Linked DNA regions of Struthio camelus. The main gene of each other region encodes a partner of the protein of the gene in region 4 in a complex. Links are inferred from orthologs where the notes say so. Each region holds a gene or a part of one and is shown on either strand. Other genes may lie near its edges. The genes, in order: PPIH, LSM5, PRPF6 and LSM2.

What was found.
Region 1: LSM2 (region 4) and PPIH share a complex: the UniProt entries of both Homo sapiens proteins name them as parts of the U4/U6-U5 tri-snRNP complex. The link is inferred for Struthio camelus from reciprocal best matches to the Homo sapiens genes LSM2 and PPIH.
Region 2: LSM2 (region 4) and LSM5 share a complex: the UniProt entries of both Homo sapiens proteins name them as parts of the precatalytic spliceosome. The link is inferred for Struthio camelus from reciprocal best matches to the Homo sapiens genes LSM2 and LSM5.
Region 3: LSM2 (region 4) and PRPF6 share a complex: the UniProt entries of both Homo sapiens proteins name them as parts of the U4/U6-U5 tri-snRNP complex. The link is inferred for Struthio camelus from reciprocal best matches to the Homo sapiens genes LSM2 and PRPF6.

Annotation. Positions count from the first base shown.
Region 1 is NC_090962.1:12,645,664-12,653,644, reverse strand, and holds the start of PPIH (peptidyl-prolyl cis-trans isomerase H), read left to right. Parts: upstream 1-4,862; 5' UTR 4,863-5,081; coding exon 5,082-5,147; intron 5,148-5,557; coding exon 5,558-5,622; intron 5,623-6,037; coding exon 6,038-6,061; intron 6,062-6,374; coding exon 6,375-6,419; intron 6,420-6,940; coding exon 6,941-6,983; intron 6,984-7,981. UniProt on the Homo sapiens protein: PPIase that catalyzes the cis-trans isomerization of proline imidic peptide bonds in oligopeptides and may therefore assist protein folding. Participates in pre-mRNA splicing.
Region 2 is NC_090943.1:55,214,243-55,221,868, forward strand, and holds the start of LSM5 (U6 snRNA-associated Sm-like protein LSm5), read right to left. Parts: upstream 3,012-7,626; 5' UTR 2,807-3,011; coding exon 2,611-2,806; intron 1,511-2,610; coding exon 1,415-1,510; intron 1,186-1,414; coding exon 1,158-1,185; intron 483-1,157; coding exon 410-482; intron 1-409. Other genes in the region: late secretory pathway protein AVL9 homolog, read left to right, coding at 6,029-6,124. UniProt on the Homo sapiens protein: Plays a role in pre-mRNA splicing as component of the U4/U6-U5 tri-snRNP complex that is involved in spliceosome assembly, and as component of the precatalytic spliceosome (spliceosome B complex).
Region 3 is NC_090959.1:17,594,590-17,602,820, forward strand, and holds the start of PRPF6 (pre-mRNA-processing factor 6), read right to left. Parts: upstream 3,070-8,231; 5' UTR 2,946-3,069; coding exon 2,875-2,945; intron 1,859-2,874; coding exon 1,690-1,858; intron 979-1,689; coding exon 860-978; intron 178-859; coding exon 99-177; intron 1-98. UniProt on the Homo sapiens protein: Involved in pre-mRNA splicing as component of the U4/U6-U5 tri-snRNP complex, one of the building blocks of the spliceosome.
Region 4 is NW_027182645.1:4,622-12,246, reverse strand, and holds LSM2 (U6 snRNA-associated Sm-like protein LSm2), read right to left. Parts: upstream 2,836-7,625; 5' UTR 2,766-2,835; coding exon 2,763-2,765; intron 2,603-2,762; coding exon 2,535-2,602; intron 1,623-2,534; coding exon 1,592-1,622; intron 1,408-1,591; coding exon 1,348-1,407; intron 952-1,347; coding exon 826-951; 3' UTR 584-825; downstream 1-583. UniProt on the Homo sapiens protein: Plays a role in pre-mRNA splicing as component of the U4/U6-U5 tri-snRNP complex that is involved in spliceosome assembly, and as component of the precatalytic spliceosome (spliceosome B complex).

The DNA.
Region 1 (7,981 bases), on a different chromosome or scaffold from region 4:
CTGCTCTGCACTTCCTCCCCCAGACCAGAAGACTTAAGTGCTTGGAGAACACGCTCAGAACCTCCCAGCAGCGATACAGGCAACATCACCAAGGGAAACGCCTCCCTCGCACCCGTCCAAGAGCGCAGCGTTTCCCAAAGCCACTTCCCCCAAAGTCCCACCTCACTCTGCGCACTCCAGCCCGCGCCTTTGCCCTCCCCTCTCCCGTCACCTCCGCATCACGGCTCGGCTTTGGTGGCCTCCCGCAGGGAAGGAGATGCCTGCCAGCGAGACACCCTGGAAGCCCAAAAGGAAGAAGCTCTTCACACCTGCATCCCCGCAACAGCTCCCAGAGGAAGGACACCTCCTCACCCCGGGGTCTACTGCGGGCTGAGCCTGGACTCCTACAACCTCCACGTCCAGCTTTTTACGCGCTCCTCGGTCCTTTCAGACACCTGGTCTTGTCCAACCCTCCCTTTCGAGAGAGACAGTGCTCCCTGGGGGCTTCGTGTGCCACCCCTTTCTGGGGGCCACCTTCTGCAAAGGGAGCCAGCTGGGACACTTTGTTCACCGGGGAGAGGCTCTTTGTCACGGGAGGCATGAAGTGCTATGAGGGGAACACACGGAGGGGCCCTTGGCTCCCTGCATTGCTCTGGGCAGCAAGAGAGTACCTTTTCTGCCAGCCTCCGCAGCCACTTCTTTCTCGGAGGTGGCATCCGTATGCACAAACCTGGAAACAAGCAGGAGACAGCGGTTTCGAGAAGGGGCAGCACAGGCTCTTGCAGCCTCCACTAAGCAGCTGGTCACGGGGAGAGTGGAGAGCTGCTGTCAAGCCTCTGGTCTGCCAAAGCAGAAGACAGCATGTGGTCAGCACATATCTTAGGAAGGTGAGTACACACAACCCCAGTGCTGGGAAGGGCACAAGAGGCCCCAACCACAGCTCTTGTTTCCACCTGCTTGGGATGTACCTTCTCAGAGATGCTTTTCCGGAAGAAGACACATGCAGGAAAGAGGAAGATCTTGGGCACTGGGCCTTGTCTTTTTCAGCCTCAGCCAAAAGAAAGGGCAGGAGCACAAGAAGCTCTGCGCCAAGTGGGGCCTAACTTCCTCTCCCACACAGGGCGGGAACAGAAAGCAGGCCCTCCTCCAGCTGACTTCACCCCAACAGACAGGGCTTCCCAACAAAGCATGGCTGACCACGCACTTCACTGAGAAGCCCTCGTCTGACAAACTTCTTCCCCGCTAGCTTCAGGAGGAGACAAGCCCTGGCAACGAGGCCCTCGGCAGCTCTCGGTGGCTCTACCAAGTGGGAGATGAGAAGCTGCATGCTCGGTCCGTCAAGGGCTGCAGAAGGAAACCTACTCTCTGTGGGAACAAGAAGACACCCCCCAGCAGGCATCTGGAAAACAGCCGTCTCCCTGTGGGTGATGATCAAAGGCCTCAGCCTTGGCTTCTGCAACAGAGACCGAGACCCATGAGGCCACCCCCAGGAAATGAGCCCCTTGCTCACAAGGCAAACAGTTGCCCACCAGCCACATGAGAAGCTGCCTCTCCACAACTCTCTCACCAAGTGCTCTTGCACCAACATCAGCCCCTCTCCCAACTTGTGCCTGCAGCCCAGCAAAGCCCTGAGAATGGGCAGCAACACTGCCAGACTTTGGGCAAGGGCAAGAATCAGGAGACTCCCTCAGGAGACTCGGTCTTGCCTAAAGGAGAAGTCAACGGAAGCTAGCACGACGCAAGGCTTTGTGGTAGCTGGCCTCTCTGGTGGCTGCCTTTGCTCTCTTTGCTTGCACGGACCATTGCTGAAGACAGAACAGGGAGTCCAAGCAGTGCGGCCAACCCCCAAGTCTCTGCTGACACTCAAACGGCTGCATCTGTAGCTGCAGGAAGAGAGACACGCAGCCCTCCTTCCTCCCTGGCACGCTCAGGGAAACCTGGGACAGCCAAAGCCCCGAGAGCTGGAACAACAGCAAGCGGGGGGCCCGGTCCGAGACCCGTCACTGCAGCACAGGCTGCAAAGGGCTGGTCAGTGCAGCGACACCAGCAGAGCAGGACGGCAGGGCCTTGGTCCGTTGGTGCCTCTGCGTCCTGCCCAGAGACAGCATCTCTACAGCGTCGCTTTCTGGGAGGAGGAGGGCAGGCACTGGGAGAAGCACCAAGACAAACCTGCCCCGGGCTTATACTCTTTCCTAGCACAAAGGGACATGGGCTACCGGGCTGGATCTTTGCTCTGACCAAAGACAGCTTCTCAGAAGGGCTTCTGTGTCGCCAAGTCTCTCCTGAAGGCCAGACAAGAAGTCTGCCGAGAGCTCGCGTTCCTGTAAATCAAGGCGAGCGCAGGGGACGAGGCAGGCCAAGGCTTTGACCAGGAAGCAGGAGCAGGAGAGGCAGTGCTGAAAAGAGGCCCGACTTACGCTGAGGAAAGATTTTGCCAAGTTCCTGGTCCTACCTACTTTGTAAATAAAGTCTTCAAAGAATCTCATCAGCACTCCAGGATGCTGAAGTTCTTGAAGACAAAGTCCAAATCCTTGCTCGTGGACAAGGCCCACACAAAGACTTTCAGGGTCGCCTCTATACGTCTCAGCACCTTCCCCTTCGGAACGTGCGGCCGCAGTGCAAGCTGGGCCTAGTTCAACTCCACAGCTTGGGAATAGGCTGGAAACAAAGCACCGAGCAACAAAGTGACTTGAGCAGCCCTTCAGCAGACCCCAAACACCCTGCAGCACAACAGACAGCCCCTCGGGAGGCTTCTCGCCCCCCCCTTCCACCCCACCTACTCTCCATGGAGCAGCCAACGTCTTGCCTGCGGGGGCCACAGCCCCGTCCCCACACCCCCTGCTCTCAGCAGCAAAGAGGAGATGGCATCAGTGGAAGGGAAGAACCACTCCAAACACAGCCCCCACCCCGTGCTGCTCCACACTCACCATCAAGGGCATCCTGGGGCTCTCCATGGCCTTGGGGCAAACCCGCTCCCCCGTCTCTGCTTCGTGCCTGACTGCGGCTCGCTTAGGCCCCTTGTCCCCACAAGGCAGCTGGCAGGGCCAGCAACAACGCTGGCACTCGCCTTCCACAGTGCGCCAGGCTTTCTGCCCTGCCAGGAGGAGCTCGAGAAGGCCCTGAAGAAGCGAGCTCACAGTCTGCTTCTCCAGCTGGGCTTTGCTTTTTCTCTCCATTGAGGGAGACGTGGCTCTGGGGCAAAACTGACACAAAACTGCAGGCTCCTGCTGGGGCATTTCTTCTGCTTTCAGCGGTGGCAAGGAATAAGGCTGCTCCATGGCAGGATGGAAGCGGGGGCTCAGCACTCATGAGGGTTGGAAGGAGGGTGAGGAGACAAGACCCACCTGGTTCAGCAGCAGCGCTTGGCAGTAGCATTCAGAGATGCTGTCCCAAATTTTAACAACATCTGGGGAGCAAGAGGAAGACATGCCATGCTTGAAGTCAGACAAGCTCACCACCATCCCACCTGCTCCAAACCAAGCTCCAAGATGCCAGCATCATCCCCACCACCACCAGCATCCTCGCAAGGACCCGCGGCGGAGGGGCCTGCAGAGCTGAGTTTTTACCTGACATCCGACTAGAAGCCCTCTGCTGACCCCACGAGAAGTCTGGAGCTGAAACGAAGGCACGAGAAGGGCTTTGGACGAGGGGCTCCTCCCATCCGAAAGGGGAAGGGGGCTCCGAGGTCGCAGCCTCTTCCCTGCTCTGGAGGCACAAGCGGATCCCAGAAGAAACCAGAGGCGGTGGCTAGCTTTTTCCAAGAAGCCAAGCTCAGCAGAAGGAACTACAAGGTCTTGCGAAGGAAACGAGCCACCCCTAACGAGCGCGTTTCCAGCAGGCTCTCTGGAGGCCAGGGCACCTCAGCCTTCTTCACGCTTCCTTTCCTGGCAGATCCTCCTCGCCGCACCTCATCCTCTCCTTGGCCAAAGCTGCCAACGGCTTCGCAGGCCAGCGAGGGGACGGCGCCTCGGGGCACCTCCGGGCCTTTCCTTCCTGCCCCAACCCCGCGAGGCCTGCAGACAGCGGCAGGGGGAACTCGGAGGAGAGCCGCTCCGGGGCGCCAAGCCCTCCAGGAGCAGTCAATACACGCGTGTGGCTGACACGGAAGCGGCCGTTAGGCACGCGGCCGTTATGGAAGCGGCCGTTACGGGAGCGACCATTACACGCGTGATCGTTACGCGCGCGGCCATTATGGAAGTGGCTGTTACGGGAGCAACGGTTACGGAAGTGGCCATTACGGGAGGGACCATTACACGCCTGATCGTTACGCGCGTGGCCATTACGGAAGCCGTTATGGGAGCGACCGTTACGGGAGAGACCATTACACATGTGATCGTTACATGCACAGCCATTATGGAAGCGGCCGTTACGGGAGCGGCTGTTACGGAACTGGCCGTTATCGGAGCGACCGTTACACGCGTGATCGTTACGCGCGCGGCCATTATGGAAGTGGCCGTTAACGGGAGCGGCCGTTAGGGGAGCGGCTGTTACGTCCGCGGCCGTTATGCACGTGATCGTTACGTGCGTGGCCATTATGGAAGCGGCCGTTAGGGGAGCGGCTGTTACGTGCGTGGTCATTATGGAAGCAGCCGTTACGGGAGCAACGGTGATGGAAGCAGCCGTTACGGGAGCGACCGTTACACGCGTGATCGTTACACGGGCAGCCATTATGGAAGCGGCCATTACGGGAGCGGCCGTTAGGGGAGCGACTATTATGCATGTGATCGTTACGCGCGCGGCCATTATAGAAGCGGCCGTTAGGGGAGGGACCGTTAGGGAGCGACCATTACACGCGTGATCGTTACGCCCGTGGCCATTATAGAAGCGGCCGTTAGGGGCGCGGCTGTTACGTCCGTGGCCGTTATACACGTGATCCTTATGCGCGCGGCCATTATGGAAGCGGCCGTTAGGGGAGCGGCCGTTACGCGCGCGGCCGTGACAGGAGCGGCCGTTACGCGCGCGGCCGTGACAGGAGCGGCCGTTAGGGGAGCAGCCGTTACGGGAGCGACCGTTACGCGCGCGGCCGTGACGGGAGCGGCCGTTACGCGCGCACCTCTCCGCGCCGCCGCGGCCGCTTCCGCTTCCGGGGGCGGGCGGGCGCCATGGCGGTGTTGGCGTCCAACCCCAACAACCCCGTGGTCTTCTTCGACGTCTCCATCGGCGGGCAGGTGGGCGAGGCGGCTACGTGGGGGAGGGGGGCTGCGGGGGGGGGGAAGGGATTGCGTGGGGGTGGGCGTTACATGCGGGGAGGGGGCGCCATGGGGAGGGGTTTCAGGGGGTGGTGGGGGGTGCGCAGCGGGGAGGGGGGCTGCATTGGGGAGGGGGCTGCAGCGGGAGGAGGTCTCGGGGGGGCAGAGCTGCAGTGGGAGGGGGCTGGGGCGCATTGGGGGGGATTGTGGGGGGGCTGCAGGGGGAGACGGCTGCAGCGGCGCAGTGAGGGGTGAAGCAGGAGTAGGGGGGCGCAGGAGGTGCAACTGGAGGGAGCTGCTCGGGTGCCGGGGGAGGGACGCGGGGATACCGGTGGGTGCAGCGGGGGTCCGGCAGGCTGCGCTGACCACGTTTCCCCCCCCCCCCGCAGGAGGTCGGCCGCATGAAAATCGAGCTGTTCGCTGATGTCGTGCCCAAAACGGCGGAGAATTTCAGGTAAGGGGCAGCCGGCGCCGCTTCGTGCTGCGGGAGCGTTTCCGGTGCAAGAGCAACCACCTCCTTGCCAGAGCCGCTGCATCCCCTTCGCGCCTCTCTCCGTGGTCATCTCAGTCCCACAGTAGACATTCATATACCCTGCCCTCTGTGCAAAACGGTGCCGCACGCCACGCTCGCCGTCTCTTACAACCCCGGTGTTGAACAGCTGACCCTCCCCAACTGCAGAAATGCCCCTTTTGAAATGGAAACGATGAGCAGTTCCTGACAGTTGCCCTTTTCCTTGGTGGTATTCCTGATGCTTTAAGGACAATCCTGCAGTTTTTCTTCTGTAAAACATTCAGAGCGCAGCGGTTTGGCATTCCTAGGAATACAAATGTGACTCATGCTCTGCTGTTTTGTACTTTTTGTTTTCCAGGCAGTTTTGTACAGGTGAATTCAGGTATGTGCTTAGATTCTCCTTCTAAATAGTATTAAAAAATATTCAGATGAGCAGAGGGCTGGGGGACTAGAAAGAGAGGTCACCTGGAAGTTTTTCTTAGTGCATCAACACAGAACGAAAAAGTTAGAGAAAACACGACTGGCTCAGTCACACGGATGGCAGACTTACCCAGCCTTCCCTTTTGGGTGCGGCCAGAGTCGGGTACGGGTTTGGGTACGTTGCTGTAACTGGCACTGCCAGCAAATCCCATGGGAGAGTTTTGTGTTGGGATATACAGTAAACTGCAATGATTTTCCTTTTTATTTCCTCCTAGGAAAGATGGTGTCCCTATAGGTTATAAGGGAAGCACTTTCCACAGGTAACTCTTCTGCTTTTGTTTAGATGCTTAAACAGCAGTGTGAGCTGGGCCTGGTTTTGAGAGCTGCCTCAAAGGTGTTATTAGTCTGGGAGGTGTTTTTTAAGCATGGAGGACTGGTCACTGCTGGTATCATCTTTCCAGAGCCTCTGGCATGTCTGTCCTTTGGGGGGATTGGGGGATTTGGGGTTGCCCTCAGATATACCAGAGGGAAACCATGGTCTCCTTGGAGCTTTTGAGTTGACACACAGGGGTCACTTTGCAGGGGGTCCCCCCATTCCTGGTCTGCCAGGTCAGAGATTATGTTCTTGCATATATCACCTAATCTATCCCATGTTTAACAGCAGTGGATCCCAAATTACTTTATATCAGCCAGTAGTTAATATTCAGTGTAGATTTTGCATTGTAGTACTTACAGACCCTTATGATTTTTTTGGTTGTGAGAACTAACTCCCTTTTCTGACATAGTAAGCTTCTGGAGGCATTTTTTGACTGAGAAGTAAGTATCGTTTTACTTTTTGTAGGGTAATAAAGGATTTCATGATCCAAGGAGGTGACTTTGTAAACGTATGTACTTCTGTATTTCTTTTGTACTTTTGCTGCGTGGTATAATATGCGACTCTTTCCCAAGGTCCATGCTTACTTGCAATATCTGTTGGCTCTCTTATGAGGCAGCCAGTAATAACTGGAGGTTTCCTTACAATGTTCCTACGATCTTACTGCAGCAGTACAAGTACAATGTACTTGGAAAGAAATCCGGAGACTTGGGCAAGCACGTTTTCTTCTCTCCCAAAATATTTCCCCTTTAAAACAGCATGATAGCATCATTAGAGACTCTTCAAACTTGCAGGGAATTTTTACCCTGTTGCCCTTCTCCTTTCTTCTGTCCCCCAGGCAAGAAACCCTACAAATTTCTTTTGGCTCTGTGGAGAGAGACTCTGAGCATAAATCCTAGCGTCTAGTCCAGGATTTATTTAAATCAAAATTAATTTCTATTATTAGTGAATTGTCTCAAAGTAGAAAAGACTTTGTACCTACAGTATTGTGCCTTTCGGATAAGCCAACTGTTGGGGAGATGCTGGATGATCACTGGGTCTCTTCGCTACCCTAGGACCTGGGGAAATTATTTCATTTCCCAAACCACTTGCAATTGGAGGGGGATGATGGAAAAAGCTTTTTAACACAAAACTCAATTTTGTGAAAGCTGAGAGAACTGACTGCAAAGTGTGTGGCTTAGTCACATTGGGTTTGCAGCTAGTCCTAATCATCATGCTGCTCAAATGTCCCCGTGGCTTTATTACTTTCACTAAAGCTCAACAAGCTTTACAGGTTGCACTGGTATTTGTAACTTATTAATTGCGCTTCTTATAAAGCTACTTGGGGACCAAGAACGGCCACACTGGGCCCTGAAATAGGGTACACGATCCTGCCTTGTAGCTGACAGTTTGAATAAGCCACATAGCAGTAAAAGAAGCAGAGACTAGGCAAGTAGAGCAAAAGGTGCAGCGCTGCAAGTGGTATGTTACTGGCATCTTATTTTCCTTGTTTAAGCCTGGCTTAACGCA
Region 2 (7,626 bases), on a different chromosome or scaffold from region 4:
AAACTGCTGCAAACGCATCCATACATAAGATAATGGATGTGATTTAGATGCATCCTGCCCTACATAGTTGTACAGCCAAGCACTCGTAAGTTAAAAGCCGCTGTATTAACCAGCCTCCAAAGAAGGTTCCAAAGCCAGAAGTGATTCCCTAACACACCTGAAGACCAGAAAAGGATTCACCAAAATGAAATTATGACCATCCCATTTTCACAGATGTTAAGCTGTAACACATGACAAGTATGACAATAAGATCGCTTCTCTAGCCTCAGTCATATACACATATGCCCCTAAAGCTACTCGAAGTAGCCTATGTAGCGGACCACTCAGCTTGGAGTAGCAAATCAAGCAATAATTGAATTCAACAACTGCAGACATAAGTGCATGCAATCTCTTTGCAATGACGACTTACCATTGTTATGTTATTTCCGTTTAGCAAAATCTGGTCTAGTTTTGTGATTCTTCTGCCCTCAGGTGTAATTTCACTGAAACGGCATCAGGAAAAGAAAAAAAAAAAGACTTAAGTAAAATAAGAACATACCACTATGGAAGATGATTATAGTTTTGATGATTGTACTGACACAAAGCTCTACATTAGAATGAAATTTATCAGAAGTAACAAATAAATTAGCTATCTCACAACATAATCTTGATACATTGGCCATCTGGGTCAAGAAATCTACGTGAAGACCAAAGAGATCCATTGTACTTTTCTCCTTAGCACATAAAGATGTGGATTTACCCTCTAAATCCTACCAAAATCTTGACTACCACTAATATTCAAAAAAGGCTGCAAATAGCAAGATAGCAAAACAAAGTAATGACTACTTATCCTTAAGTGTGCCAGGTTTCCAAATCTTTGCCTATGTGTTACAAGGCCTTAAAAGCAAACAAACTACTGGAGAGTTCAACCCAGAACCCATGCAAAATTGAGGCTGTAAATTAGGAGCTTCATTAAAAATATTTACTGAGATAAACCATGAAACGGGTGCTCTATGACATGGCTGTCCTCAATAGGTCATCATCTAGTTTAAGTCTAAGGTCTAAATTATTCAATCAACAAGTATTCCAAAAATATCACATTACTGTGCTGATACCATGTTTTTGTAACTTGGAAAATCAAAGTTTAAAAAGCCACAAAAGATAGAAATAATACTTACAATTCTGTAACATCTTCTAACACCATGTCTGAAAGTCTAGTTTCAAGGAAAATAAGGTAGAGAGACCTTAAGGTGCAGAGACTCTAAATTATTTTCCTTTTACGTGGAAGTGTGATTTCATCTATAAAATAAAATCAGAGTAACATATGAAACAATATAATAAATTTCTACTCAGTGGAATTCCAAACTCTTAAAAGTAATAGACAAATTAAGCAGAAACATGAAGTTTAGGCTTAAACCTTTCCATTAAAGGATACTGACAAAGTCATCAAATCCTAGAAGCGTTCCAACAATTTCTTTATCGCTCTTCATCACAATATGAATGCGTGAACCTATACATTTGTCCACAAGTTCTGCAAATTAGGAAAAAAAATTAAAAGCATTAAAAACACACTTCTAAACAAAAAGCCCAACATTATGATGGCAAAAAAAGTAATTGTCAAGGGCACCAGCAAAACAGAGAAAAATAAATCTTTTCCTTGCACAGTTTACTACTAATGCTACACAAAAAAACTCTCTAAGCATGTTTATACAGTACTATTACCTTACTTTGGTGAAGCCATATTACTACTGCTGTTAACTGCATGTTTAATTAGTACCTGAGAGCTAAGCACCAAAGTTAGATCTATCTTCAGCAGACCTTTGTGCTGCATCCCTATCGAAGATATGAATAATTTCTTTGTATGCTGTCTACTCTTAAAAGACTCGTTATTTTTCCCTCCAGAGACAGAAATTTAAAACCTCTCCTAATCAATATTTGCCAGAAGTCGAACAGTTTACCCATCCAGACATTGCTCCTGAGCGGCCCGAGTAGCGATATAACGCACTGGGATCCCACAATTTAACAAAAAGATGTAAGGCAGAAATTTTATGGACAAGTTACGACTGTTCTCCTCACCTTTCTTCCCTGACCACCTCCTCTCACAGCAGTGGAAAGCTTTTGTTAGGCTTTACCTCAATTTGGGGGGGTTACTTTGTTTTTTTTTCTCCGCCAAGAACGCTTGACGTTTGAGCTAGAACCATGCAGCCCCCTAGGCTGAAGCCGTGACGGGCGCGACTTCCTCCCCCACCCCGGACCCCTCACACGCCGAGGGCCGGGACCTCGCTTCCCTCCCACGCCGGCACAGCCAGGCCCCCACACTCCCGCAGAGACATGACACGACACCCCCCCCCCGCCCCACCCCAACGGCCGCTCTCGCGCACCCGCCGCGCGCCGCCCGTGACGTCAGCGCCCGCCGCCGCGCGTGACGCGCGCCCCGCCCCTCGCCTCCCAACCGCTCCGGGCCCCATTCAAACCTCCCGCCACGCGCGGTGCCCCTCGCGCCGCTAGGGGAGCCTGGGCACCGCCCTCTCTTCCCTGCTCTTTCCTTGAGGAAAGCCCCCCCCGCACCCCGCGCCGCCGACCGCAACAACCGGGAGAGAGCGGAGACACCGCAGCGGCAGCGCTGGTTACCGAGCGGCAGGAGCTGAGACGGGTTGGTAGTCGCGTTAGCCGCCATATTGGACCCAGGCCTAACCAGTCGCTCCTGCGGAAGTGAACGGTCCGCTGACGGCGAGGCACACTCTTGGGTCGGAGCGGCAGCCCCGCCTAGCCGATGTCCGAGCGCTCGTTCTTCCCGGGAGCTCCAGGCCGGGCAGCGGGGGGACATGGCCGCCCTGGCCACGCAGGAGGAGCCCGGAGTGTTTTTCCTCTTAGGCGGAGCTGGTACATCTTCCTCTCTAATCAGCAGGCAGGGGCTCGGTCGCTGTCTGTAGTGGATGCCGTGCTCCGGCTCCCTCGGCTGCGGTGGGGCTCCGTGCTGTGATCCGGCTGAGGAATTAAAGGGATTTAAATTATTTTTCGAGGTGGAAAAGCCGCTGCGCCGTCTGCACCCGCTTAGTAACGTAAGCCGTAATGCTACAGCAGGGAGCGGGCCCCGCTGTGTTTCAGGGTGAGCCTGGCTCTCTGCCCAAAGCTTCGTTGTTTCTAAGGGCTTTAAAAATCCTCCTGATTTCTCGAATCGCTTGAAATTTACTGTCCCTAACGGTTGTGCCGGCTTTTTTTTTTTTTAGTGCCTCGAACTGGAGACTGTTGTCAAGCTCTAGCTTTTTTTCTTTTGAAAAATTAAATATTTTACAGAATCGTGGTTTTCTGAAGGTTACCCACATTGCAGCACCGATCCTCCTTTGGCTAAATATTATCACGCCAAAGTAATTTCAACTACGTATTTTTCCCCTGGTGGGAGATCTACGTAGTCACTGAGGGCAGTCAAAAGAAAAAGGTAAAACAAAAGCCAAGCGATGTTGCACAAGTAGCAAAACTGTAGCTGCGTTGAAACTAGGCAGGTTTTTTGGCAATTTGATATGTTTCGTTGAATGTGAGCTATACCCGGTGCTCTAAATCAAATGACCGCAATTCAGTAGGATCATTTTGCATACATACTGATCCAAAACATGCCTTTAATGAAATTCTTGTGCACGTGAATTCATGATAGTGAAGACAGATGAACTTTCACTTTCAGAGGTTTTTTCCTCTTGCCTTACTGCCTTTTTCCAAATTTTGATCAAAATAATCACTTTGTTCTGCATGGGTTTTTTTGTTTGTTTATTTAACTAATGGCTATTTTCTGTATTTTAATGTTCATATCTAAGACTTTTATCTTTGTAAAATATCCTCCAGTTTCCTAATACTGTGAGACATTCATGAATTCTCTAGCCCATCATTACTTTCTTTGTCTTTTACCTTTCTTTTTTTTTTTTTACAGGAGAAGGTTCCAAGTGGGAGATCATAATCCCAAGCAGAGTCATAGTCATTACTACATAAAATTCAGTTTGGTTTTGCTAGTATTTGGTGTAAGAGCCTCAGAAGCAATACACTCCAAACAGGAACTGAGATTGTAACCAGCAAGAAATCAGTTACAAACCTCAAATCCATGCCAGGATTTCGTTTATGCTTTCTTATTAGCAGAAATCTCAGAATAATTATTTTTAGTCACATGCTCTTCTCTACAAATTCACAATTTCTTCCTTTAGGAAAATGGGCTATACTTAAAAAATTCAGTGAAACTACCAGCTACTACAAGCACTGCTCACCTCTGAGGCTACTTCTAGATGCATAAAACATACTTCTCTTGTAAAAGTTATCCATCTCAAGAAGTGTCACTACACATAATCAGCACTGATAACTTTGATAATTGTTACTAAATTCCAAATGAGTGACAAATTCTGTTTGCTGTGCTGATGTTATAATAGCTTGCGGTAGCTCAAATATTACTGCTGAGAGAAAAGAACTCCCTCTATGGCCAACTGAGTTTGTTCGAGTTTATTACTGATATTTGTTAGATATGCATTGAGAAAGTAAATTCCATTAGGAAAGTTCCCACTGAGACTTTCATAGCTGCTCTATCTCCCTTTCTATTCCATAACTACACACACACAGTGTTAGCTGTGAAAAAGACATAAAATATGTCAGTCAGTTCAATTTTCTAAAACAGGCTGATGTCATTCAGTCTAACATTTAACATTTTTATTTATTGCCTTAGTGGGAAAGAAAATTTCAAACAATGAAAAAAAATCTAATAACCTATTCAGAGAAGTAATAATCCACAGTTATCCAGCAGTCTCATTGTGATGCCCTTATAATGCAAAATCCATAGCACTGAGAGTACTGCCACACTGCCCTTTCTTCAATTAACTGAACATGAAATAAAAATACTCTCAGGCATCTCTTTTTTGGTATATCCTGTTACTGGAGGGGATAATGGCTCATATTTCACACATTGTTCTTTTTTGGAATTATATTGAGCATCATAAAAGTAAGGTACAGAAAAGACCTGATAAGGAATTGTTCTCTTGCCAGTGAAGGATTGTTCCCTGCAGTTTATCCTTTGTTCCCCAAAGTATATATTTTATGTAATGGAGCTTCTGTTGAAGTTGAAGAACAATATGTAATTATAGACTTTGGTGTTAGAATTGGAGCTCCTGGGTATTGTGGTAGCGATGAGATTTTCTTTGAGCATTTTTCTTCTATTTTTTTTTCCCAAATGAATCTCTTCTTCTAATTTCCACAAAGAGTCCTAATTATTAAGGGTACAGTCACTAGCAAATGCTGTTGACTTAAACAGGACTGAATCCTGAGAAAGGTTAATGAGGGAGCATGGTCTGAGCACAGCAAGATAAAAGATTTTAACTCTCTTATACTGAATTTGTTTGTGCTCTGGGACAGGGCTTTGAACTCTCTTCCTCAGGATATCCTAATATATGTTTAGTAGTGTAACAGCTCTAATGGAAGTGCATTAACTTGATTTTTCCAACTTGAACCCATTAATAGATGTGCCCCCAGTTAAGCAACCCCACGGCTGACTTCTCTCAAGTTCTGCAAACAGCACGGAGCCCTAATTTGTTTGAACAGCAACACTTGGAAAATGGAAGATCCATGCCAAAAAAAAAAAACAACCAAACTTCAGAAATAAGTTTATCTTTCGGTTTTATTTTCAGTCTTCCGCAAGCCACCTCACTTAACGTGGATATTAAAATCGGGTCAGAGTTTTGTGCTGCCATCAGTTAAGTAGTCAATAATTAAGATTTACTGAGAGAGAGAGAGAGAGAAACTCGCCACCGTTTTCGGGTGTACCCAGCCCCGGGGCCGAGCGGGCAGCGGCGCTCCCGGCGCGGGGCAAGCGGCGGCGGCGGGCGGAGCTGGGCGAGCACCGGGCAGAAGAAGGCCGGGCGGGGCGAGACGGGAGGCTCCGCCCTCCGCCGGGCCGGCGCTGCGGAAGGAAGCGGGTGGCTGGGGCGGCTCCGCCGGGCTCCTGGGCGGCGGGAGGCGGAGCGAGCGCCCGGGCTCGGCGGCGGCGGCGGCGGCGGCGGGGCGGTGGGCAGCGGCCTTCGGCATGGAGAAGCCAGGCGCCTCCCCGCCGGCCGGCCCTCAGCGGGGGCCGGTGCTGCACATCGTGGTGGTGGGCTTCCACCACAAGAAGGGCTGCCAGGTGAGGGGCGCCGCCTTCTCCCGCGTCTCCCCACACCCTCCCCCTGCCCCCCCCGGCGTGGGGGGGGGTCGTTTCCTAGGCCGTAGGGTCGGCGAGGCTGGGAGCTCGTTGGGGCCCAACGGTACTAACGGCGTACGGGGCCCGGAGGTGCGGGGGGGCCCGCCGAAGCCGTGACTCAGTTCGCCTCGCGCGGCAGAGGGCGGTTAACGTGCGGTCAGGCGCGCGCGCGACACGCCCGAAGCGCTCCCGCCCGAGGGTGAGTGCGATGCGGGCGGGCGAGGCTGCGCCAGGCTCGGCACTGCGGGTCCCTGGCGACGGGTGTCGTGTCCAGCCCCCCTCCCCCCGCCGGCGTTTGACATAAGCCCTGGTGATCACTGCAGGCCTAGAGGCAGAGGGGGATCTCCAAGAAGGTCAAAACAAAAAATATTTTTGCGATTTTTTTTTTTTTTTTTGAGGTGAATCTGCTAGCGATGGAGGAGCAGCGACCCGGAGCGCTGCGGGCGCTTGCTGACAGGCCGGACAGCACATGCTGCTGGGCAGGGCAGGCAGCTGGGGCCGGCGCCCTGCTCCCTGGCGAGCTGTGCTCGCCTCCTGCCCTGCCTGCGCTTGGCGGGCCCCTTCCTGTGCTGGGGAGCTGGGCAGGCCTCAGGGGCGCCCCGTGGGAGCCTTGGTGTCAGGAGAGCATGGGGCCTCCGTGCCTTCACGGTGCTCTGCCTCTCCTGCACGGGGTGAATCCCTGAGGTAAGAATCGGGTGGCCCACAAGAAAGCAGAGAGCCAGCTCTCTGCCCCTGCGCCCGGACTCCTGGAGTGCTATTGACTCCCTGTCCAAAAGGATTAGTGTGTTTTAGCCTCTCTTTTCTTCCCCCCCCCTCTTTTTTTCTATAATTTTCCATTTTAAGAGCTTTGTTATAACGAGAGATTTTTTTTAAGCTTGTTTTATGTCAGTAGGACTTGTATTTGAGCCAATAAAATAATGGCTATTCAAACAATGTTTTGCTTAATGTTGCAGTATTAAAATAAAACTAGTATTTAAGCTTCTAGAGTTGTTCCACATTTTGTGATTGGGCAGTCTCTAGAAGAACTGAGGTTGAATAAATACTGACCTCTGCTAGGAAAGACAGTGAGTTCTGTGTTCAGAAATACACATAAGTTTTAAATGATCAAATGATGAATAACTGTTTGTATGAGTTTGCTGTGTTGTTGGTGCATTTGTTTTGTTTTTAAATATGGTTATGTTGTAAGAAAATTTTGAACACTTGGACTTGCCGTTCCTAAAGGGAAAAATAACCTCTGTAGTCTGCAGATTTTGTTACCCAACTAGTCACCAAACATAGTTGCTTTGTTATTATCAGAGTAGTTGGATATGCAGATGGAAATGACTTGCTGTGAGTTTGCATGAGTCGCAGTATTTCTGGTAAGCAAATGGTGTATGAAATGCCAGTCAGGGTAGCTGCAATGACCAAAAATGATTTTTTTTTTTTGGTTTTTAAATCTTGAGCTC
Region 3 (8,231 bases), on a different chromosome or scaffold from region 4:
TAACAGACAGAATCTGCGCAAGTCAACGCAAAACATGCATCCATCTCCCATATGTCATAAAGACAAAAGTCATATTTAAGAAAGCTTTCTCTCCTTACTTTCAAGTCTGAGAACTGCTGCTGAATTTTGGGTCGTTCCATACGGTATTTTTCTATCTCCTCTTTCTCTCGTTGTTCCCTTAGGAAAAGGGGTACTGAAGTTATACTCAAAGTAACACTGAGCAAGTCTTTATCTAAAGCATTGTTATTACAGAAAAATGTGTTTGATCAGAGGTAAGGCACAAAAAACATTATTATTCCAAGTTTAGACTATCATCGTCTATAACAGCAAATTAAATAGCTCATCAATTAAGACAATGTTACAGTGTCAAATTAGACATTTGCAACCAAATCAACTTCACTCTTTAACCTCCACTTACCTGTAGACCAGGCAATAAACTTAAAAAAAATTAAGTGACACTCACGGGTTTACAAGACATCTGCATTAGATGACTTCTGTAACAATTGCCAGTGTATCGTACAGTAGGTAATATGTCAGAAACATTAGCTCAGCATCTCCCTAAATCTTCCTAAGGAATTACAATGAAGCAATTCAACCAAATCTACCACTGAAGAAAATGGGCAACAAGCACAGAGATACGCTCAGGTTAAATTGTGCCAAGTATCCATAGCTCTTAAAGCAACAGTATCTAACGTACAGCATTAACACAAACAAAACCAGCATCTGCTTCTGAAAATATATTCAGTAGACAAGGACAAAATTTGAGTTGAAAAACAGAAGAAAACTCTGAAATACAGACTAAATAGAAAACGCAGACCAACTCAAAAACACTCCTTGCCAGCATTGTAACTAAGCCTACCTTCTTTCTTTTCTCCGTTCATCCATCCTTTTATCCAAAGCTGCATAAATAGCATCTGCTTCCTCATCGTCTTTTTCATAGGGACCACTTGAGAACAGGCTCCCAGCATACCCATTGAACTAAGAATAAAATAAATAGCAGTTCAAAAAAAGCTGAACCTGCAGTTTAGAACTCTTTATGTACCTAGTACAGCCAACAGTCATGCAGGATAAAGAAAACGCATGAGCAAACTATTTTTAGTAACACTGCATCACACTAAAACATCCCTAAATACAAACAACTTTCTTCTACCGCAAGAGCCGATTCTCCCACACCATTTCAACAGCAAAACTTTCTATTAAGCAATAAACAAGCTCCCCAGTAGAGAAAAGCCGTTTTGTTCCATTACCCAAAAAGTGTTACTATTGAAATCAAACAAAAAGAGTAACACAATAGTTAACTAACCAAAGCGTGATTTAAACACAAGAGACTACACAGACCGCGTAAAAACAGAACTATGTCAAAAGCTTAGATTTCATTTTTGCAGCCGAATAAAAGATGCGTCCCATGAAGCACTTAAACTAATATTTTACCTATGGATTTCTTCCTAAGACTCTCAGGGCTCTGTATATATAATTAAATCACACATATGGATGAACACCAAAACAGAGATCTGAAAGCACTATGCTATTATGTATAACAGGGTCCCAATAAAAAAAAAAAGAAAGAAAGAAAACAAAAAAAGAGGAAGTGCTGTTAGCTGACTGAGGGTTTTACGACAAGAGAGCAGGAAGCTAATGGGCTCCTCTTCCACTAGGGAAAAAACACCTGAAGGATGATTAACACATCACCTCATCATAATTGGTGTCATTCAGATCTTCGTCATCATCATCAGCCGTCTGATTCTTCTTCATTTGATCCCCAACCGTTCTTTTCCCTGGCGGAGCATGACGATCATCCACCGGGTCATTGGCATCACGTGCTGGGCCGATATCAGACCGGGTGGTGAAACCTGTGGCTCTATGTTGACAGACCAATAGCAGCTATTTACAACGCAGCAGTGCAATCACTACACAGAGTCTGTTAAAATTACTTAAAACTAGAAAATTTAAAAAAACACTTCATTCACAGGGATGGCATTACCCATCCCTACTGTTCATGAAACCCTTTGGGAACAATTGTCCTTTTATAGGTATAACTTTATTTATAATGATACTAGAATCAAGTTGTCCTGCTCACCCCCTCACCATCCATCACCTTGTACCCAGAGATGCATTCGCTTTTAAAGTCTATCCATCAATGGCATGCAGCAAAAAAGATTATCTACATCCTGCAGGTTGTAAGGTGCATACAATCAGGGCAGAGGCAGACACGGGGGCTCTTCAGAAGCCCCATATTCAGCTAGTCAATGCTTTCCAGGGCCCAGCCTACAGGACTACATGCCCCTGTCCACAAGGATGCCTCAACCCAAAGCAAAGACACGAACAAATCATGACAGAGAAAACCAGGATGCAAATCCGCTGTCACCCAAGAACAACATAGCTCCCCACCACCACAGGGCAAACCCCTGCTGCCCATGCATCACCAGGACCTGCCTGTTGTTTTACCCTATAACTGCCAGCACAAGCGTGCCCTGATTTTAATGACTTCTACCGAAGCCCCCCACGCGCACACGCAATTACGACACGAGCGCACAAACCCCGGGTCAGCGGCAACACCCCTCCTAACGGACAACGCTCAAAAAACCCTCGAACTCATCCCCGAAGTCGGCGTTTACGTAAGAACAGCCTATCGAAAAGGCAGACGCAAACCGCCCAGAATGAATAAAACTTTAAAAAGCGGAGCAGGGGCCGCTGGGCACGGCCTGCCCCGAGGGGACGGCGATGGGCGGCGGGGCGTAAAACCGGGCTCAGCCTGGAGTTGGGGGAAGGGGCTGCGGGCCCGCGGGGGGGCCAGGGGGACCAGGCCGGGCCGGGCCGGGCGACGAAGGCCGCGGAGGGGGAAGGCGGGCCGGGGGTGGGGGGGAGGGGGCTCACCCGCGGCCCAGCCCCGGTACATAGCCCAGGGGCGCGGGCATGCCCAGAAACGGCTTCTTTTTCTTGTTCATGGCGGCGGCGATGGCGGCGGCGAGGCGAGCGGCGGAGGCGGGGCCGCTCGGGAGGCGGCGGCGGAAGCGGCGGCGGAAGCGGCCGCCATCACAGGCCGCGCCGCGGGGCGGGGCTACCCAGGCGGCCCGCGCGGCCGGAAGCGCGACCCGGCACTTCCGCTCCGCGGCCGGGGAGGGAGGGGGGGGAGGAGGAGGGGGAGGGAGCGTCCCTCGCGCCCCCCGCGCCCCCTGGCGCCCCGGGGGTCCCGCCAGAGCCCGGCGCGCATGCGCACCCCTGCCGGCCCCCACCCCCCACCTCCCCACCCCCGGGCGCGCAGGCGTTGCATGCCCGCACGTGGGTAACACCCCGGTGCGCGCGCCCCGGGCAGGCGCGCGCGCGCACGCAGGAGCGGGCACGCACAGCTGCACCCGTGCACGCGCGGACGTGCACGGCGCACCTGCACACGGTGCACAAACCTCTGCATGCGTGCACGGGTGCCCGTGCACCTGCACATGGGCACACCCTCGCACACAGCTGTGCATGCACCCGCGCACCCACCTCCGTGCATAACGTGCATGCCTGCACGCACACCGCTCTGCACGCATGGCACGCACGCATGCACCCACCCACCCCTGCACACACGTGTGCCTGCACACCATGCAGGTACACGTGTACACATCACACACGCGCATGCACACCTGCACGTGCGTAAAGCTGCACACCTGCGTGCATGTGCATGCACACCTGTGCACCTGCACACACCTGCACCTATACATCTGTATGCACGTGCGCACAAACCTGCGTGCACACACGTGGCTCTTGCTCCGTGTGTAGACCACACCTTTCCACCACAGGTATGCCTGCTAACAAGCACAAATACGTGTTAAAGCCTCACGCGCCGCCTGCATAGGTTCCAACCCAGCTTTCCTGCACACGCGTCCTTGCCTGTGAGGAGTTGCGTCCCCGCACGCACACGGAATGCCACACATCCCTTCTGCATTACATACACTTTGCACACATCCACCGACAAACACACGCATGTGTCCACACCTAAATGAACATACTCCCATGCATGTCTCTAGTGTGGGCACATATATGGACACCTATAGCCACAGGGGTGCAGCCGGACCCGCAAATGCAGCACAGCGCTCGGCCCGCTCTATCCCGGACGCACCCCGTGGCACCCGCTGCGCCGCCCCGCGCCCACACGCTTCCTCCTCGTTTGCCTTAATAAATGCAAAAATCCTCGTAGATTCACAGCACGCCGAACAAAAGGCATGCGCCCGCATTAAATAACTTGGATCTTTTTTGCTGATTAATTACAAACTAGCTTCTTCCTCTTTTGCATTTGCAATTAAACAGGCAGAACAGATGGCGCAGGCTTAATTTAAAGCTATGCGTCCCCTGGTTTAATCAGGCTCTCCCTGAGCTCGGGCCCTGCTCCAGCCAGAGTCGGAGGCGGATTCGGGCTCGGGGCGACTGAGATGAGACGTTCCTCCGGGGGACTGGGGGGGGCCGGAGAGCAGCTGGCGCCAAGGGAGCCTGTTGGCTTTAGGGGTGCGATTCAACCCGCCGCCCCAAAGCGACCGAGGAGATGGGGCTGCAGAGCACTGTCGCACTCAGGACACGTCCCAGCGGCCCAGGGCCAGCCTGGCCCCTGGTCTAACGCCTAGCTCCCACGAACGCCCCCAAAGCAGGCGCCGTGTCGGGAGCGGGGTGTCAGCGTGGCTTCCCGCGCTCCGGCACGGCCCTTTTCCCTCCGACAACGCGGAGTTTGGCTTATCGAGTCAATCCCTTGAAAAAAAAAGGACGTCAGCTCCCAATGAACGCCGGGAAGTCACCAAGCGCCAGCCACCGCCGCGGCCGCTTATCCCACCCGAGGGACGAAACCGGCTCCGAGGGCCGCGGGAGCCCTCGGGGGCCGGCCGGGTCTCGCAGGGTTTTGCCCGTGCCGGATTAATTAGCGCCCGTTTGCAAAGTGCTCCGGGCACGGCAGGTTCACGGCTGCATTAGCGCCCGCTCCGGGGTCTAGGGGCCCCCCCGGTGGGGCGCTGGCCCCCGCCGGCCGCCCCGGCCCGCGCCGCCCCCGCGCCCCGCGGCAGCTCCCACCAGCCTCTTGGAAGCGCCAAGCAGCTGCGGAGAAGACGAACAGCCCCATTCTGCACGCTAACCGCGCACCCAACCCCCAGCCACTTCACAGCGAGCTATTTTGGGGGTTGGCTGGCGGAAAATAATAATAATAATAATAATAATAATAATGAGCATCGCTTTTGGCAAACGGTCAGGGTGGCGCTGGGGGATGCGCCGCTGCCCTGGAGCACGGGGCTGGTCTCGGTGCTGTACGTTTGCTCTGTTCACACCACAGCCACATCCTTTCCCGTGCTGCGCGGGAAGGATGCCGCGCGCCGGCCGCCGCCAGCCGTCGCGGCGCAGTCGCGCTCCCACCCGCGAGAACGCCCGGCATAATTTATAGGCTCGGTAAAATGCCTCGTAAATGCTTTTTAGTCAACTCTGCGGGTACCCAGCGTTGACGCGCGGGTGAGCGTCGCGCAGAGCCGCAGCCTGGCGCGGAGCATCCCTGGCGTGGAGCGGCCGCGGGAGCAAAACCAGCGACTGGTCCTAGTTTTCAGTGGCAAAATCTGAGGGGCGAAGGGGCAACTGCACCTGCTAAATGTGCAAATATAATGCACCGCCCGTGCTGCGCGCTCGGCCTTTGCAGTTCGGCCGTAACTCTACAAGAAAACCAAGCTGCTCCGCGGCGCGCGCGCGAGCATAGCGGCTCTTGCCTCTCGCGCCTGCGTCTCTGTGCACGGGCAATAAAACCGCTAAGGAGCAGAGGCAACGGCAGCAGCGAGGAGCCGCGCCGGCGCTGCGCTTCGCTCTCGGAGAGCGCGCTCCCCGGCTGCTACCTGCAGCACGAACTGTAGGGAAGAGGTGCCGGAGTCACCGTCCTCTGCCAGGACAACGGGAGAGCGAGCCGGCGAAGCCGGTGTAGGAGTGCTGGCCGCGCTGCGGCCCTGCGCCAGGCAGAAACGCGGGGCTGTCCATGCACTGGAAATTAATGTTTTTAAATATGACGTAATGCAGCGAGAATAGATAACACAGGAGATTATTGCAAGAATGGATCATGCAGCTGGCGTGCGCAGGGCATCGCCCCAAGGACGGTGGGATGCAGGGCGTCACCCCGAGGACGGCGGGGAGCTGGTGCATGCAGGGGGCATCGCCCCAAGGACGGCGGGGAGCTGGTGTGTGGAGGGCATCGCCCCGAGGATTTCAGGATGCAGGGCATCGCCCCGAGGACGGCGGGATGCAGGGCATCGCCCCGAGGATGGCAGGGAGCTGACGTGTGCAGGGCATCGCCCCGAGGACGGCGGGGCGGCGGGGAGCTCGCGCGTGCAGCAGCGCCGGCTCCTTCCCTGCCATCCGGTGCGAGTCCGGCCACGGCCGCCCTGGGCAGACCTGCGCCGGCGGTTTGCGTGCTGCTTGCAGCATTGAGGTGTTGCTGCTTTGCACTCCCAAATCGGATGATTACTTGGATTTCAGGTGCGAAAGTGAGAGAAAAGACTAAACAGGGACTTGTTTTTAATCTGCGTCTGCTCAGCTACTACATTAACACTTTTGGAGCCTATTCGCACTTGATTATCGCCCTGTGCCGTGAAATCCTCTGAAGACAGGATGTCCTACTTAGCAAAATCAGCTCTGCATTAGGTAAATATACTTCCTGAAATTTTAATTAGTCCCACACAACGGCTCCAGAGGGGCCCGGAGGCCGCGGTCGCAGCATCTGCTCGCTGCCATGCGCCACGCGGGCGCCTGGTGCCCCGCGGCAGCGGGAGCCTTTGCGCAGCTCACCGGTGCCAGCGGCAGCCGAGCGCCAAGCCCGCGCCGGCACGCGGCGAGAGCCAGCGCCTCCGGACGCCTCCGCCGAAGCCATCTCACGTCTCGGGGACGATTAGCGGGGGATGCCGAAGGGTCCTCGCCGTGCAGTTGGCAGCCGGGGCGGCCGCAAGAGCCGAGCTTGCGTCAGCTCGCGGTGCGCAAGGAGAACTGCCCGGGCGCGAGGACGCTCCGGGAAAGCTCACGGCCGCGAGCCCGCAGCCTGCTGAGGACAATACCAACATGCCGCTTCTTTTTTAAATTGCCTTTTAATCCGGAGCTCTCTAAAGTCTGGAGATGCTGAGGCCGGGCCGGCACGTCCCGAGGCGCCCGGCGGCGCGGGCAGCCCGGACGAGGGCACCGCGCAGCGGGTCCGGCCGTGGCGCCCCGGGCCGAGGACGTGCCGCGGCAAGAGCCGGCCCGGGAGGCAGGCTGACGGCACCAGGGTTGCACACTGCACCGGGTGGTTCGGCGATGTCCTATCTGAATTCCCCTGCAGCGCCGGGGCGGAGGCTGCGGGAGGCATCAGCGAAGCCCTTTGCAAGCTAAGAGCGTCCCCCTAACAGTGGCGATGCATGCGGGCGCGTGCGTGCATCTGCAGGGGCCGTGCACACGCAGAGCAAGCTCGAAGCGAAGAGCTTAAATTTGCAATGAAATAGCAGCCGGTTCTCAGATCACACAGCACCACGCGGTTACGCTCAGAGCGCAGCCAATCGATCCAAGCCAGGCCGTACCTTACCCTTGAGCAATGCAAATAATCAATCAAATCCCATGAGCAGCTAAACAGAGCTGGTAAGCTCCCAAATCAGGCCTGAAGGAAAGTCAGAGCTTCAGGCCACGGATACGTAATGTGGCCATAACACGGTCATTAATTTTCTCACGCTAGTCGGCAGCTGGATGCCGGCTCGCTTTCCTCAGGTGCCGGTTTTCACTTGTGCCCGTTCCGAGTATTGGCTTAATAATTGCAGCGCTCGGGTGATGTCGCTGCCCGGAGCAAGGGAATATCCCCAGTGAGAAGGGCAGAATCCAACCGCTTGGGCTTCGATTAGCTAATAGAGATCAGATGGAGCTGGCCGAACCTTTTCAGCCAAAACGATTTTGGCCAAAAAGATTGCAAAACTTGTAATGAACTGATGGCAATTTCATCAAGTTGGGAGAGAAAAAACCCGAGTGGGAGGAAGCAGAGGATTTTGTCTGACCTCAGCGGATTCCTTACCGCTTGGTTTGCCCAAACTTCTGGATGCAGATGGTGCTTTTAGCCTCGTGTCAGCCCAAACTGATGTCATTCCCAGGCAAAAGGAGTGGGAATCGCGTGAGAAAGGAAATGCTGATTATTTGCACAGGTTTCATTTCAAGGGCAGCTCGTGGAGCCCGGCCGATGGAACGAGAGGCCCCGTTACCTCCCGTGACACTAGGGCAGGAGCGCAGGG
Region 4 (7,625 bases):
GGGGCCGGCGCGGTCCCGGAGCCGCCGTCGGTACCTGCTGCCGGTGCGTGGGGAACCGCGTGGAGCCGCGCGCACCGCGCATGCGCCGCCAGCGCCTGCCCCCGCCCCGCGCATGCGCCCGTCCCGCCCCGCGCCCCGGGCTGCTCCCGGATTGGCTGCTGCCGCTGCGCAGGCTCAGTCAGCGCTGTGTGTGCGGGGGGGGGGGGGGAGGAGGGGGGCGGGGCGGGCTCCCGGATCATAGAGCCGTGCGGCTCGGCGGGGCAGAGCGGCCACCGCGGGTTACGGAGCGCGTCCGGCGACCCCTGGCGGCGGGCGAACAGCCGGGTCCTCCGGGGACCCCCAATCCCCCCCCACCCGGGACCCAGGCGTCCGAGACCCCCCCCCCAACGCCTTCCAGGGACCCAGGCGTCCGGGGAACGTTACCCTCCCCCCACCCAGGAGTCCAGGGCCCCCCAACTCCCCACCCGGGACCCCGGCATCCGGGACCCCCCAACCTCCCACCAGGGACCCCGGCATCCGGGACCCCCCAACCCCCCCCCGAGGGACCCCGGCGTCCGGGGACGCAGCCACGACACAGCCAGGTCCGGGTGCCCGTCACCAGCGTTTATTGCGCCCCGCCGCCGCCCGGACGCCGGGGCTCACCCCCCCGGCCCCCGCGGGGCTGGGGCGCAGCGGTGAACCCCGGCGTCCGGGCGAGCAGGGGGGTCTCGGGGAGGGCGTCGGGGTGAGGTAGAGAAACGGGGGGCAGCGGAGTGGGGGCCCCGGCATCCGGGCCGGGGAGGGGGTGACGGGGCCCCGGCGTCCGGGGGGCCCCGGCGTCCGGGCTCACTGCTTCTGCTGCAGGGCCTCCTTGCGGGCGGCGTCCTGGAGCAGCTGCGTGTCGACCTCGTCGGCCGGGAGCTGCACGTAGCGCACGACCGAGCCCCGGATGAAGCAGTTCTTCACCGACAGCTGCGGGGGACCCAGGCGTCCGGGCGTCAGCGGGGCCCCGGGGGACCCCGGCATCGGAGGGCCTGGGGCACCGCGGCCGGCCCGGGGGGGACCCAGGCGTCCAGGGTGGTTGGGCCCAGGTGTCCGGGGGACCCAGGTGTCCGGGAGACCCCGGCATCGGAGGGCCTGGGGCACCGCGGCCGGCCCGGGGGGGACCCAGGCGTCCGGGGGACCCCGGCATCGGAGGGCCTGGGGCCCGGGGGGGACCCAGGCGTCCGGGGGACCCCGGCATCGGAGGGCCTGGGGCACCGCGGCCGGCCCGGGGGGGACCCAGGCGTCCGGGGGACCCCGGCATCGGAGGGTCTGGGGCCCGGGGGGGACCCAGGCGTCCGGGGGACCCAGGCGTCCGGGCCTTACCATGTGCGGGTACTTCTCGGGGTCGGTGACGCTGATGTCCGTCAGTTTGATGTTCAGGTACTGCGGGGACGCGGGGGGGTCACGGCCTGGGAACCCCGAGGGTCCTGCCCCCGACGATCCCCTCCACCCCACAGACCCCCGTGGGCCCAACCTGCCCCCCCGGTCCCGTCCCACCGAGGGATCCAGCCCCCCCCCGGGACCCCCGCAGCCCCCTTCCCCCCCCGTGGCCCCTGGCCCCACTCACCTGGTCCACGGAGTGCAGCGTCCCGCAGATGCTGGGGGGAGAGAGAGTTACCCGGACGCCTGGGCCCCGTGGGGGGGGGGTCCCGGACGCCTGGGCCCCGTGGGGGGGGGGTCCCGGACGCCTGGGCCCCGTGGGGGGGGTCCCGGACGCCCGAGTCCCCGTGGGGGGGGGAGGCTGGACGCCTGGGCCCTGTAGGGGTGGGAGGCCGGACGCCTGGGCCCCGTGGGGGGGGGTTCCCGGACGTCTGGACCCCGTGGGGGGGTTCCCAGACGCCTGGGCCCCGTGGGGGGGGTCCCGGACGCCGGAGTCCCCGTGGGGGTGGGAGGCCGGATGCCGGAGTCCCCGTGGGGGTGGGAGGCCGGACGCCTGGGCCCCCGTGGGGGTGGGTCCCGGACGCCTGGGCCCCGTGGCGGGGGTCCCGGACGCCGGGGTCCCCGTGGGGGGGGGAGGCCGGACGCCTGGGCCCCGTGGGGGGGGGAGGCCGGACGCCTGGGCCCCGTGGCGGGGGTCCCGGACGCCGGGGTCCCCGTGGGGGGGGGAGGCCGGACGTCTGGACCCCGTGGGGGGGTTCCCGGACGCCTGGGCCCCGTGGGGGGGGTCCCGGACGCCGGAGTCCCCGTGGGGGTGGGAGGCCGGACGCCTGGACCCCCGTGGGGGTGGGTCCCGGACGCCTGTGCCCCGTGGGGGGGGTCCCGGACGCCGGAGTCCCCGTGGGGGTGGGAGGCCGGACGCCGGAGCCCCCGTGGGGGTGGGTCCCGGACGCCTGGGCCCCGTGGGGGGGGTCCCGGACGCCGGAGTCCCCGTGGGGGTGGGAGGCCGGACGCCTGGGCCCCCGTGGGGGTGGGTCCCGGACGCCTGGGCCCCGTGGCGGGGGTCCCGGACGCCGGGGTCCCCGTGGGGGTGGGAGGCCGGACGCCTGGGCCCCGTGGGGGGGGGTCCTCACCTGAGGTCGTTCTTGAGCTCCACCACGACGTCTTTGCCCACGAGGGACTTGAAGAAGGAGTAGAAAAGCTGCGGGGACACGGACACGGGGGTCGCGCGGGGCCGCTGCTGCCCGCCGCCGCCCCCGGCCCCGCGGCCCGCTCCGCCCCGCCCCCCCGGGCCCCCCCGGCGCTCCCGGCCCCCCCTCGAGCCCCCCGGGCCCCCCCACGAGCCCCCCGGCCCCGCCGACCATCGCGGCCGCCGCTGCCCCACGCGCCAGGGAACCGGCGAGGCCCCGCCCCCTTCCGCCGCGCGCGGAGCAGCCGCCCTGGCCCCGCCCCCGGGGGCGGACCCGCCGTCCTGGCCCCGCCCCCGAACGGAATCGCTGGTCTGGCCCCGCCCCGGGGGCGGACCCGCCGGCCTGGCCCCGCCCCCGAACGGAATCGCTGGTCTGGCCCCGCCCCCAGGGGCGGAGCCCGCCGCCCTGGCCCCGCCCCCGAACGGAATCGCCGCCCTGGCCCCGCCCCGGGGGCGGACCCGCCGGCCTGGCCCCGCCCCCGAACGGAATCGCTGGTCTGGCCCCGCCCCCGGGGGCGGACCCGCCGCCCTGGCCCCGCCCCCGAACGGAATCGCTGGTCTGGCCCCGCCCCCGGGGGCGCCCGCGGCACCCGGCCAGGCCGCCGCCCGCGGGCCCAGGCGTCGGAGGGGCCCCGGCGTCCGGCCGCGCCCCCGCCCCCGCCCATCGCCGCCCGGGCGGGGCCGCCGCGAGCGACCGGGCGCGGGAGGGGGACACGCGGGACACAGGGGACGTGGGGTGGGGACACGGGGGTCACGGGGACACGGGGGACACGGGGACCTGGGGGACGTGGGGTGGGGACACGGGGGTCACGGGGACATGGGGGTCACGGGGACATGGGGGTCACGGGGACCTGGGGGACGTGGGGTGGGGACACGGGGGTCACAGGGACACGGGGGTCACAGGGACACGGGGGTCACAGGGACATGGGGGACGTGGGGTGGGGACACGGGGGTCACAGGGACATGGGGGTCACGGGGACCTGGGGGACGTGGGGTGGGGACACGGGGGTCACGGGGACACGGGGGTCACAGGGACACGGGGGTCACGGGGACCTGGGGGACGTGGGGTGGGGACACGGGGGTCACAGGGACATGGGGGTCACAGGGACATGGGGGTCACGGGGACCTGGGGGACGTGGGGTGGGGACACGGGGGTCACGGGGACACGGGGGACACAGGGACACGGGGGACGTGGGGTGGGGACACGGGGGTCACGGGGACATGGGGGTCACAGGGACATGGGGGACACGGGGACTTGGGGGACACAGGGGTCACGGGGACTCGGGGGACACGGGGACCTGGGGGACGTGGGGTGGGGACACGGGGGTCACGGGGACACGGGGGTCACGGGGACATGGGGGACACGGGGGTCACGGGGACACGGGGGTCACAGGGACATGGGGGACACGGGGGTCACGGGGACACGGGGGTCACAGGGACACGGGGGTCACGGGGACCTGGGGGACGTGGGGTGGGGACACGGGGGTCACGGGGACACGGGGGTCACAGGGACACGGGGGTCACAGGGACACGGGGGACACGGGGGTCTCGAGGACCCGGGGGACACGGTGTGGGGACACGGGGGACGGGGATGGATCAGCGCTCTGGGACCGAGTCCCACCCCAGATGGGGCCCCACGTCCCTCTGCCCCCTCCCATGTCCCCCGTCCCCGTCCCCCCGTCCCCATGTTCATGTCCCCCCGTCCCCACACCCCCCTGTCCCCCATGTCCCGTGTGTCCCGTGTCCCCCATCCCCACACCCCCGTGTCCCCGTATCCCGTGTCCCGTGTCCCATGTCCCATGTCCCCGTGTGCCATGTCCCATGTGCCGTGTGCTGTGTCCCCGTGTCCCGTGTCCCCGTGTCTCGTGTCCCCGTGTGCCGTGTCCCCGTGTCCCCGTGTCCCCATGTCCCGTGTCCCATGTCCCGTGTCCCATGTCCCGTGTCCCGTGTCCCATGTCCCGTGTCCCATGTCCCGTGTCCCCATGTCCCCATGTCTCGTGTCCCGTGTCCCCGTGTCCCCGTGTCCCATGTCCCGTGTCTCGTGTCCCGTGTCCCGTGTCCCCATGTCCCGTGTCCCCATGTCCCCATGTCTCGTGTCCCATGTCCCGTGTCCCATGTCCCGTGTCCCATGTCCCGTGTCCCCATGTCCCCATGTCTCGTGTCCCGTGTCCCCGTGTCCCCGTGTCCCATGTCCCGTGTCTCGTGTCCCGTGTCCCGTGTCCCCATGTCCCGTGTCCCCATGTCCCCATGTCTCGTGTCCCATGTCCCGTGTCCCATGTCCCGTGTCCCATGTCCCGTGTCCCCATGTCCCCATGTCTCGTGTCCCGTGTCCCCATGTCCCCGTGTCCCATGTCCCGTGTCTCGTGTCCCATGTCCCCGTGTCCCCATGTCCCCATGTCCCGTGTCCCCGTGTCCCGTGTCTCCGTGTCCCGTGTCCCCATGTCCCGTGTCCCCGTGTCCCGTGTCCCCGTGTCCCGTGTCCCGTGTCTCGTGTCCCGTGTCCCGTGTCCCCGTGTCCCGTGTCCCCGTGTCCCCGTGTCCCCGTGTCTCGTGTCCCGTGTCCCCATGTCCCGTGTCCCGTGTCCCCGTGTCCCGTGTCCCCGTGTCCCCGTGTCCCCGTGTCTCGTGTCCCGTGTCCCCGTGTCCCGTGTCCCGTGTCCCCGTGTCCCGTGTCCCCGTGTCCCCGTGTCCCCATGTCCCGTGTCCCATGTCCCGTGTCCCATGTCCCGTGTCCCCATGTCCCCATGTCTCGTGTCCCGTGTCCCCATGTCCCCGTGTCCCATGTCCCGTGTCTCGTGTCCCATGTCCCCGTGTCCCCATGTCCCCATGTCCCGTGTCCCCGTGTCCCGTGTCCCCGTGTCCCGTGTCCCCGTGTCCCGTGTCTCCGTGTCCCGTGTCCCCGTGTCCCGTGTCCCCATGTCCCGTGTCCCCGTGTCCCGTGTCCCGTGTCTCCGTGTCCCGTGTCCCCATGTCCCGTGTCCCCGTGTCCCGTGTCCCCGTGTCCCGTGTCCCGTGTCCCGTGTCCCCGTGTCCCGTGTCCCCGTGTCCCCGTGTCCCCGTGTCTCGTGTCCCGTGTCCCCATGTCCCGTGTCCCGTGTCCCCGTGTCCCGTGTCCCCGTGTCCCCGTGTCCCCGTGTCTCGTGTCCCGTGTCCCCATGTCCCGTGTCCCATGTCCCGTGTCCCCGTGTCCCGTGTCCCCGTGTCCCCGTGTCCCCATGTCCTGTGTCCCATGTCCCGTGTCCCCATGTCCCCATGTCTCGTGTCCCATGTCCCGTGTCCCGTATCCCGTGTCCCCGTGTCCCCATGTCCTGTGTCCCATGTCCCGTGTCCCCATGTCCCCATGTCTCGTGTCCCATGTCCCGTGTCCCCGTGTCCCGTGTCCCCGTGTCCCCGTGTCCCCGTGTCTCGTGTCCCGTGTCCCCATGTCCCGTGTCCCGTGTCCCCGTGTCCCGTGTCGGTGTCGCACCCGCACGCCCACGGCCGGGCCGGACCGGGCGAACCGGCCCCACGGCCCCGTGACGACACGGCCCGGCCCCGCGCCGCCACCGCGATTTAAGGGCGGCTCCGGGGCGCCGCGGCACCGGCGGGACCCTGCGGTGAGCGGGACGGAGGGGGACGGGGACGGGGACGGGGACCCGCGGGACGGGGACGGAGGGGGACGGGGATGGGGACAGGGATGGAGGGGGACGGGGACGGGGATGGGGACGGAGGGGGACGGGGACCCGCGGGACGGGATGGGACGGGGACGGGGACCCACGGGATGGGGACGGGGATGGGGACAGAGGGGGACGGGGACGGGGATGGAGGGGGACGGGGACAGGGATGGGGATGGGGACGGGGACGGGGACGGAGGGGGACGGGGATGGGGACCCGCGGGATGGGATGGGGATGGAGGGGGACGGGGACGGGGACAGGATGGGATGGGACAGACAGGGACGGAGGGGGACAGGATGGGATGGGGATGTGGGACGGGGACAGGATGGGATGGGGATGGAGGGGGACGGGGACGGGGACAGGATGGGATGGGGATGTGGACGGGGGACGGACAAGGATGGGACGGGGACGTGGGCGGGGGGACAGATGGGGGGACCCCGGACATGGGGACACGGGACACGGGATGGGAGGGAGATGGGGATAGGATGGGGATGGGGACAGGGATGGACCCAGACAGGGGACACGGGGGGACAACACGGGACACGGGGACACGGGACATGGGATGGGGACACGGGATCGACCCAGACGGGGAGTCGACACGGGACACGGGGACACGGGACACAGGCAAGGGAGGGGGCCCGGGGCTGCGGTCTGCGTGCGTGTGCAGGCGTGTGCAGGCGTGTGCAGGCGTGTGCAGCTGTGTGCAGCCGTGTGCAGGCGTGTGCAGATGTGCGCAGTGCAGCCGTGTGCAGCCGTGTGCAGGTGTGCGCAGCGCAGGTGTGTGCAGCCGTGTGCAGGTGTGCGCAGTGCAGCCGTGTGCAGCCGTGTGCAGGTGTGCGCAGTGCAGGCGTGTGCAGGCGTGTGCAGGTGTGCGCAGCGCAGGTGTGTGCAGGCGTGTGCAGGTGTGCGCAGTGCAGGCGTGTGCAGGCGTGTGCAGGTGTGCGCAGTGCAGCCGTGTGCAGCCGTGTGCAGGTGTGCGCAGTGCAGGCGTGTGCAGGCGTGTGCAGGTGTGCGCAGTGCAGCCGTGTGCAGCCGTGTGCAGGTGTGCGCAGTGCAGGCGTGTGCAGGTGTGTGCAGGTGTGCGCAGCGCAGGTGTGTGCAGGCGTGTGCAGGTGTGCGCAGTGCAGGCGTGTGCAGGCGTGTGCAGGTGTGCGCAGTGCAGCCGTGTGCAGCCGTGTGCAGGTGTGCGCAGCGCAGGTGTGTGCAGGCGTGTGCAGGTGTGCGCAGCGCAGGTGTGTGCAGCCGTGTGCAGGTGTGCGCAGCGCAGGCGTGTGCAGGCGTGTGCAGGCGTGTGCAGTGCAGGCGTGTGCAGCGCAGGCGTGTGCAGGCGTGCGCAGGCGTGTGCAGGTGTGTGCAGGCGTGCGCAGTGCAGGCGTGTGCA